2 linked regions of the Caenorhabditis elegans genome follow. The protein of the gene in region 2 interacts with the protein of the main gene of each other region in a pairwise test. Each region holds a gene or a part of one and is shown on either strand. Other genes may lie near its edges.

What was found.
Region 1: the proteins of inft-2 (region 2) and Y106G6H.14 interact in a two-hybrid assay, tested with the Caenorhabditis elegans proteins (one large-scale study listed by BioGRID).

What each region holds. Positions count from the first base shown.
Region 1 is NC_003279.8:10,471,527-10,475,273, forward strand, and holds Y106G6H.14 (Osteoclast-stimulating factor 1), read right to left. Parts: upstream 1,864-3,747; 5' UTR 1,863-1,863; coding exon 1,767-1,862; intron 1,720-1,766; coding exon 1,602-1,719; intron 1,331-1,601; coding exon 1,116-1,330; intron 1,062-1,115; coding exon 927-1,061; intron 879-926; coding exon 780-878; 3' UTR 670-779; downstream 1-669. Other genes in the region: Y106G6H.13 (Reverse transcriptase domain-containing protein), read left to right, coding at 1-401; ska-1 (SKA complex subunit 1), read right to left, coding at 2,074-2,247, 2,297-2,769, 2,824-2,908; Y106G6H.16 (Dynein light chain), read left to right, coding at 3,387-3,464, 3,538-3,642, 3,692-3,747.
Region 2 is NC_003283.11:13,000,391-13,004,316, reverse strand, and holds the start of inft-2 (FH2 domain-containing protein), read right to left. Parts: upstream 2,002-3,926; 5' UTR 1,976-2,001; coding exon 1,912-1,975; intron 1,867-1,911; coding exon 1,673-1,866; intron 1,369-1,672; coding exon 1,250-1,368; intron 1,202-1,249; coding exon 1,089-1,201; intron 1,040-1,088; coding exon 840-1,039; intron 818-839; exon of another isoform or gene 731-817; intron 600-730; coding exon 1-599.

The sequences.
Region 1 (3,747 bases), on a different chromosome or scaffold from region 2:
GCTTCTACATGGATGCTAGTTTGGAGAGCGACGCCGACGTTCTTCCAGCATCGGAGAGTGATATGTTTGAGGCACAATTCATTGCCGATGTCCCACTCGACGGCGACGCGATCATTCGTATCGTTGATTCACAACTCGCTTTTGAGCAACGCAACCACGTTGTGTCGGACTATTGCACCATGAAGGCCGCGGAGCTCGAGAAGAACCCGAATCAACTGACAATGAACAGCTCAGTTATGGACAATCAGCAATATTTTGCCCCGCCAAAAAGTGAATCGTCGCAATATGCATGGAACACGAATGATGTTGTCTCTTCTCATCATCAATATGCTGCTCAGAGCCCAAACATCTACACCAACGACTATCACACCAGTGAACCATCCGATTATGCCTATATATAACTTGATGGAATGAGTAAACATTTGTATTTTGGGTTTCTGTATTTACTCGTTATTCAGCCGCAAAATTAGAGAAATCTAGACTTTCGCGACGAGACCCAGCTTATCTATTTCAAGGTGGTCGTAGAATCGTTTAATTTAAGACTTCTCAATCCCTATTCACACATTAAAAAGCAAAACTACGATACTTGAATAGCATTAGTTCTGAAATAGAAAGATTAAAAGTAAAGAAAACCTCGATTCAAACGAGTATTTGAAAAAGGAGAATAGAGGGAAAAAAAAGTTTATCACAGGTTGGGCAAAGTTTCAATAAATATCGACAAGTGTTTGAGAAATAATTACAAGATGTCAAAAGGAATAAATATTGCAAATTTAATAGTCTTAATCAGCATCCGAGTCTGACAAATATTCAGCATACTCTTCTTCATTCACACGATCCTCTTTCATTGCTTTGTCTAGAAGAGCAGCGATATCAGCATCCTGGAATTATTTTTTCTATAGAAAACTTCTATAAAAAACAATATTTACTTTTGTCACATCACTCGGCAGCTTTTGATCTTGATTCCTTACAAATGGATTGGCTGACGAAGCGAGAAGAAGTCTCACACATTCCACGTGGCCTTTGTAGGCCGCTGCATGAAGAGGCGTATCACCGAGTTTGTTCTGAAAATTTAATTTTTAGAGATTCGTTACATGTGAAAGAATATTTCAACAAACCTGAACCGAAACTGCAACTTTTGGATCCTTCAACAACGTATCCACTGCTGGCGCGTGTCCACCATGTGAAGCCCAGTAAAGTGGTGTAGCTCCGGACTTATCGAGGGAGTTGACGGATACCCGCTCTCGAAGACATTCAGCCAGCATATCCATATTTCCACGTCGAGCAGCTTCATGTAGGGGATTCGGGAGCTCTTCCACATTCTCACTGATCACTGAAAAAATAAATATTGGAATTTCTAGAAATCTCGATGAACTCGGTGCAGTTTCGAATTATAAAAGAGGAGGAACGACGGTTTTGCAAAATTGAGATGCGGTTTGATGCATGGCCATTTAAAAATGATTTTGTACTAATGAACTGACGAAAAAAGTTCAAAAACAAGTAATTTAACTAAAAACTGTAAAACCATGTGAATTAATCTACGCTTCTCATCGAACCGCGCCGCAGCTTTGCAAAACATTCCTGATTGTGCTGTAAGTATTCACCATAATTAGCTGGAACCAATCCTTTTTTGCCTCCGATGCTTGCTTGGAACCAATCTTTGTTCGGCTGCTCGTCGCTGACGTACATTAGATCTCCTTCACTGAATGTCAGCTCTTGAGCCTGAATTTATTCAATAATTGGGTTGTTTTTTTCAAATTAAAGCTTACAGATCTGGCTTGAAAATCATAAAGTGCTCGATAAACTTTCACTCGTCCTGGCTTTGGAGCTGGTGGTGGTGGAGCCATTGGTCGAGCTGATGACATTCTGATAAATTTTAAAAATGTTGAAAAATTCATATTTCTAATCAGAACAATAATATTTTTAAAGTAGAATATATTCACCAAAACAAAGGTGTAAAAATTGAAGAATAAATTTTTTTGATCATTTGAAGTAGAAATCCGTTTATTAGCTATTTGACAGAGAAATTTAATACGTTGAGACCAGTTTGAAAAATGTACAAATATCGTAAGGAATTTATGGATAATAGAAAGTCAACGGTCCGCATCGTTCTTCTCGAATTCGACGAATGTGACGAAGGCACGGAATTGCTTTGGCAAATGATGGACGAAGACGGTCTTGGAGCATTGGTCGAATGTCGGTTTCTATGAAGAATAACGTTGTTGGAAGTCTCTTTCTTGCTTTCATTTCCTGAAAAATTATAGATTTATTTTCAATAAAACAAGTAAAACAAACTTACAAGTTCTCGCCAATTGTCCAAAACCTCCCTATCGCTCCTTGTCAGCTGTTTATTAGTTTTCCCCAGGATTTTGCTCTTTTTCATCAGGAAATCATCCATTTTGCTCACTATTTCATTCATCATTTCCAGCGTTAACCGGCCTAGTTGATACTTTGGAATTGTTTTGAATTCTTCATCCGTTATCTGTGGCACAATTCTGATATCATTTTCTTTCGGTTTAGACGATAATCCTTGTTCATTCGGTTCATTGGTTTCGACAAGAGCAGATGATTCTTTACTTTGAGGTACCAATTGTGATTTCACATCGACAATCGTGGAAGCTTCAACTTTGATTCCGAGAAAATCATTCAATTGACTTTTGGTGCAGTTCATACATGTTTCTTCACAGTTGTTTTCCAATTTTTGTTGATCAAAAGCTGCATCATCTAGTAACAACTTGATATTCTTCATTGTATTCAAGAGAGGGCTGATTGCTGAAAGAAGTGATAATGAAGAATGCGAGAAGTTGTGAAGAAAAGTAAACGTACTTGTTTCAAAATTGGGAATATTTTCTCGACATATGCGGAAATTTTCATCGGTCTCTTCGGTAATCCGATCAATAAACGATTCCATTCTGAAACAGGTAATGTTTTAATTTTTAATTTTTAATATGTTATGTTTTGTAGTATTAGAGATATGTTTAATGTATCAACAATTGAAATTGAATCAACGGAAAAGAGCCAAATTCGATAAAGTCTAATTTTAGGGAAAAAGGAAGCAGTGGCCGTTTCTGCTGGATTTAAGAAATAAAGAATGCAGTAGAGCAAGAAAAAAATCTGTTCCAATTTAATTAAGAAGTTATAGCTAATTAAAAAGATAAAACAATTAAATAAATAAAGACAAGACGGCAAGGAACGATGAGTCATATTCGCGCCGTTTTAATTCAGATATACTTCGAGAGGAGTACACATCCGTGGGCGATAGAGCAGCCACAGTTCGAATTTCTAGGCCACGACCATAAAAGCGAATTTTCAAATTTAGATTTTTATCTTTGTTAGAAACGTTTTTCTACAAAATAACATCATATTTATACCTAACCCAATGAAGATAAATGGAAGAAAAAGACGAATTTGATTTATTTATTGAAAAAGCTGAAGAAGTGGTTCGTCTTTTTGAAAATGGGCAGGACGTGAGTTAATTGATGCGATAACGCGTTATAACACTGAAAAATATTCAGTTTCTCTCATCTTTTAATTTTTCAGGTTCGCAACGAAGCAGAAAAATTGCTCAAAGATGCTCTTTCTGTTGACGCAGAATGTGTTCCGTCCACATGTGTAAAGCCAGATAAAATCTGCAAAATCTTAAATGTGAGTTGTTTTTATTTCAAAAGAGATAAAAAATATATTTAATTCTCAGTATCATATAAATAAAACAAGCTCCCCACCAGTTCAAAGTATTCGAATGCGCCATTT
Region 2 (3,926 bases):
AAGCTCATCGTCAAGATGTCACTGAATCCAAGACCATCCAACGGAGAAGCAGAAGTGGATTCATCGATAAAGGCTATATTCGCTTTGTCCGGAAAAACTGCAGATGGTGAAGCTTCTAACCCTGTGTGCATTTCACAACTTTCTGCTTCTTCTGAGAGCACTTCAGTGATAACCTGAAGTGTTGTATCGTGGACAGGCGATAGAGGTCCATCATCATCAGACGAAAACGTCGAAGTGGAGAAGTTTGATTGAAAAAACGCATGGTTTCCTCCAATTTGACTTTGCGCTGGTAAATCCATTGCAGTCATCCATTTCTTCAAATTAATGTTCGAATCGATAGAATTTGGCGTTGTTGGATCCGGAGAGCTAAGTTTGCTTTCATCATCGGATGTCGAGTAATCGCAAAAAACTGCCGATTCTTCCGGAATACCATGAAAATTTCGAGAAGGCTCCCTCCTTTCCTTGTTCAATTTCCGCTGGACCACATCTGTCTGAGTTTCAGAATCTTTTGTGAGAACATTCGAAGAACAGGAGACACGAAGCCCGGAAATACTTGCACCAATGTCAGTCGATTTTTCAATCGTTTCCAGCAAACCAATCTGCAAAAAAAAGATTATAGTTTCATCTATATCAGACCCGAAGACACTATCGCGGGTATGTCTGCGTCTCTCATGTGAAGTTTACGAAAACTATGACCTCCAGTACGCATTCTTCCTCAACACTCAACATGACATGCGGGGGTATAGCTCAGTGGTAGAGCGCTCCCTTAGCATGGGAGAGGGCTGGGGTTCAATTCCCCATACCTCCATAATGTTTTACTCAATTTTCCATAAACTTACAAAGTTCTCCCATTGCTGGTCGCTAGTTTTCGATAGAATTCGCGTAAGAATCTCTATCGGTTGGCTATTGTCGTCGTGAAGCCCCATTATCCGAGCATCTCGACTTTCTGACTGTAAATACATATTTACTTCTTCGTCGATGGCTTTACTTTGAGGGGAACGATCGGCGTGAGCTGCGAGGGCGGAAAGGAATCCATATGCTGAAAGAAAACATTTTAACACCAAAATTTAACAGAAAGGCAAACTGACAATGGAGCTTTTTACGAATGGTAAAGCGCTGGAAAAACGAGCTTGTACTGCCAATCATGTAGTTGATATCAGCAATCGCCTTGAGTCGTGTCGTCTCTTCTCCAATCTCATCTCTGAAACAATATCAATCATTTCTGAAGTATTGGAGGTAATAAACTAGCCTAAACTCAGATATCATTTCCCTAATGTGAACATCAGTATCATCGAGACGGCTTGACGAAATAGAGGACACTGGAAGAGAATCAACACATCGCTCAGAGACATTAGGCTCGGGAGATATCTAAAAAGAGCACATATGTTCGGATATGAGACTGAATTAAAAGATGAGTAGCGTAAAAAAGGATTTTGTTTCAAAAAAAAATCCAAAATAGTCACAAATTCAGAAAAGCCAAAGAAGAAAAATCGAACTTTTAAAACGCCATTTTTCAAATTTGGCTAAACTTTTTTCATTCTTTTGTGATTTTCTCCGTCTTTCATTTGTGGTATTTTTTTCTGAAATTCAGGCGATTTTGGATTTTTGAAACAAAATCCTCATTCACGCTACTCCATTTTTTCAACAAAAAATAATATTGCTGAATACTAACCGAATGTGCTCCATTACTCCTTGGCTTAGCGGCTATGTTCAATTGCGAGCTTTTGTTTCCGAACACCTGTGGTTTTTGTGCGTTGCATTTCGTCTTTGATGGAACATCAGCGTGCCCGGCATTCTCTACATCGGATGGATTGCTCAGTCGGCTTGTAGGCCTGCTTCCATCGGAAAACGGCGGTGTTTTAGCCTCTGAAAAAAATAAATTCTAAATTTTCAGACGAAATCAAAACTTACTAGTTGAGCCCGGAGGCTGATTGATCCTATGGCTCTTTTTGGAGTTTTGGCGCTTCTTCACCATTCGGGAAGGTCGAAGAGGAACAGCTGAAAATGAAAATATCACGTGCGACGTTTCAGTGATGAAAGATTATGAGGGCACAACCTTATCACTGTTTTTGGCGGTATTATTGAACGGTTTAAAGAAAATTAAAAAGCAAACACGAAAGGCAACATTATTTGAACAAATTTCGAAACAAGTGTGTTTGCACTGTTGTTCCGTGAGGTAATAATTTGATAACAACGACATTCTTGACACTTTTCAACAGGATTATGTATATTTGGCATGTCATCAAACTAGTTGTAGTTGTGATAGGCTAGTAAAAGATACGTGAAAAGTTTGAGGCTGAAGAATAAACTTTTACACGCCACTTTCTCTTCGAAAATTACATGTCTTCATGATTTTCCCCTTTGAAGCATTTCTTTTCGGAAACAACGATTACTCATTGGAAGGGAACACGAGGCGACACGTTTTCCTCTTCCTGTCTAGAAAAACTCGAACACTGAAACGTGATTTACCTTTCATGGCTCGGAATAATGACGGAAATTCTTGGAAGGAAGCAATGGGAAACTATGAAAATGGATTGGAACAGATTAGTGCCACGCATGGTCTCACGGAGAAAACGTAGGATGTAGTATAATGTTTGAAAATTTAAATGTTTCTTTTAAAGAGACAAACGAGGGGGGGGGGGGCGGCAAAGTGCTTAATCCTTTTATAGAATTTCCCCCAACGATTGGCACAAACTGTGTAATTCTGAAAAGGATTAATTCATGAAATATTTAACGCCAACAAACAAACAGAAATGGGTTTGAAAAGGTGAAGCAGAAGCAAGAAATGACCTATCGATAAAACAATATAATGGGGAGAGTGGGAGGCCGCGTGGCATATGTAAAGCCGAGACGCTTTTTTTTTCTAAAATTTGAATGATCGTTTTGATCATTGCAGACCATATATTGGAAATGAAGACGAAAAGTTGAATCTCCAGCAACACAGTGAAGCGTCAGGGCTTTTTATTGCCTTTCTTTATATATGTGAAACTGAATATTGCAGCTAATAAAAAAGAAAAATAAAGAGCAAATTCCGACAATACTCACTTTCCCAGTGACATCAGACCGCAACAATTTTGTTTATAATTCCAACAAACAGTGCTCCAAGAAAAATATTTCACGTTGAGAGCACCACTACCAAGATAATTTGAATACCAAGATTTTGGAAGATTGGGTAACTAGAGAATTGAATTATGCATTTTAGTTTAGACATAGCTTTCGCTCAGATAACCACTAAAGTGGAACATAATGACAGATAAGAAGGCCTCCAATGAACTAAAGTGCTGCCGGTTTACGAAGAACAGATTCACCTAAAATGATCTTCAGATTGATGGAAAATGGGTGATAAAACTCCGAAATCGCATTGGAAAGGCGTCTGATGCCTAGTTTCGATGAGAAAGGCCCTTACAGAAAAGCGAGAAAAAAACAGAAAATTTGTGTGTCTCATCCTCTACAAAGATGAGCGCTAAAAAATAGATTCTATCGAGTAATGTATACCAGTGAAAACCAACAAACTACTGTCAAATGGAGTGATTTATTAGCGTCTAAGCAACATGTTGAAGGTCGGCCGGACCCGAAGAAGCTCGCAAATTCAAACGTGTGATGAGGGACACTGTATAACTGTCTGCGCGTCGTTTGTTCTTGCGAAAAATGGTGAAATGGTGAACAAATGGTGAATAGGAATGAGCGAACAAATAAAGAGTGGTGGCATTACCTCGGCAAAGATTTAAAAGGAACATCAAAACGCTGAACAGATCACAAGAAATGAATGATGATTGGAAAATTTGGTTTGTTTGAAAACTTAACAAAATATAATTTTAGAAAAGACTAAAACGTATTCCTCGCGGTTTTTCAAGCTCAATCGAAGATAATCTGTAGTTTTCTTTCAAATAACTATTAAAAAAGGTGTTAAATTCCGTAAATTGTTC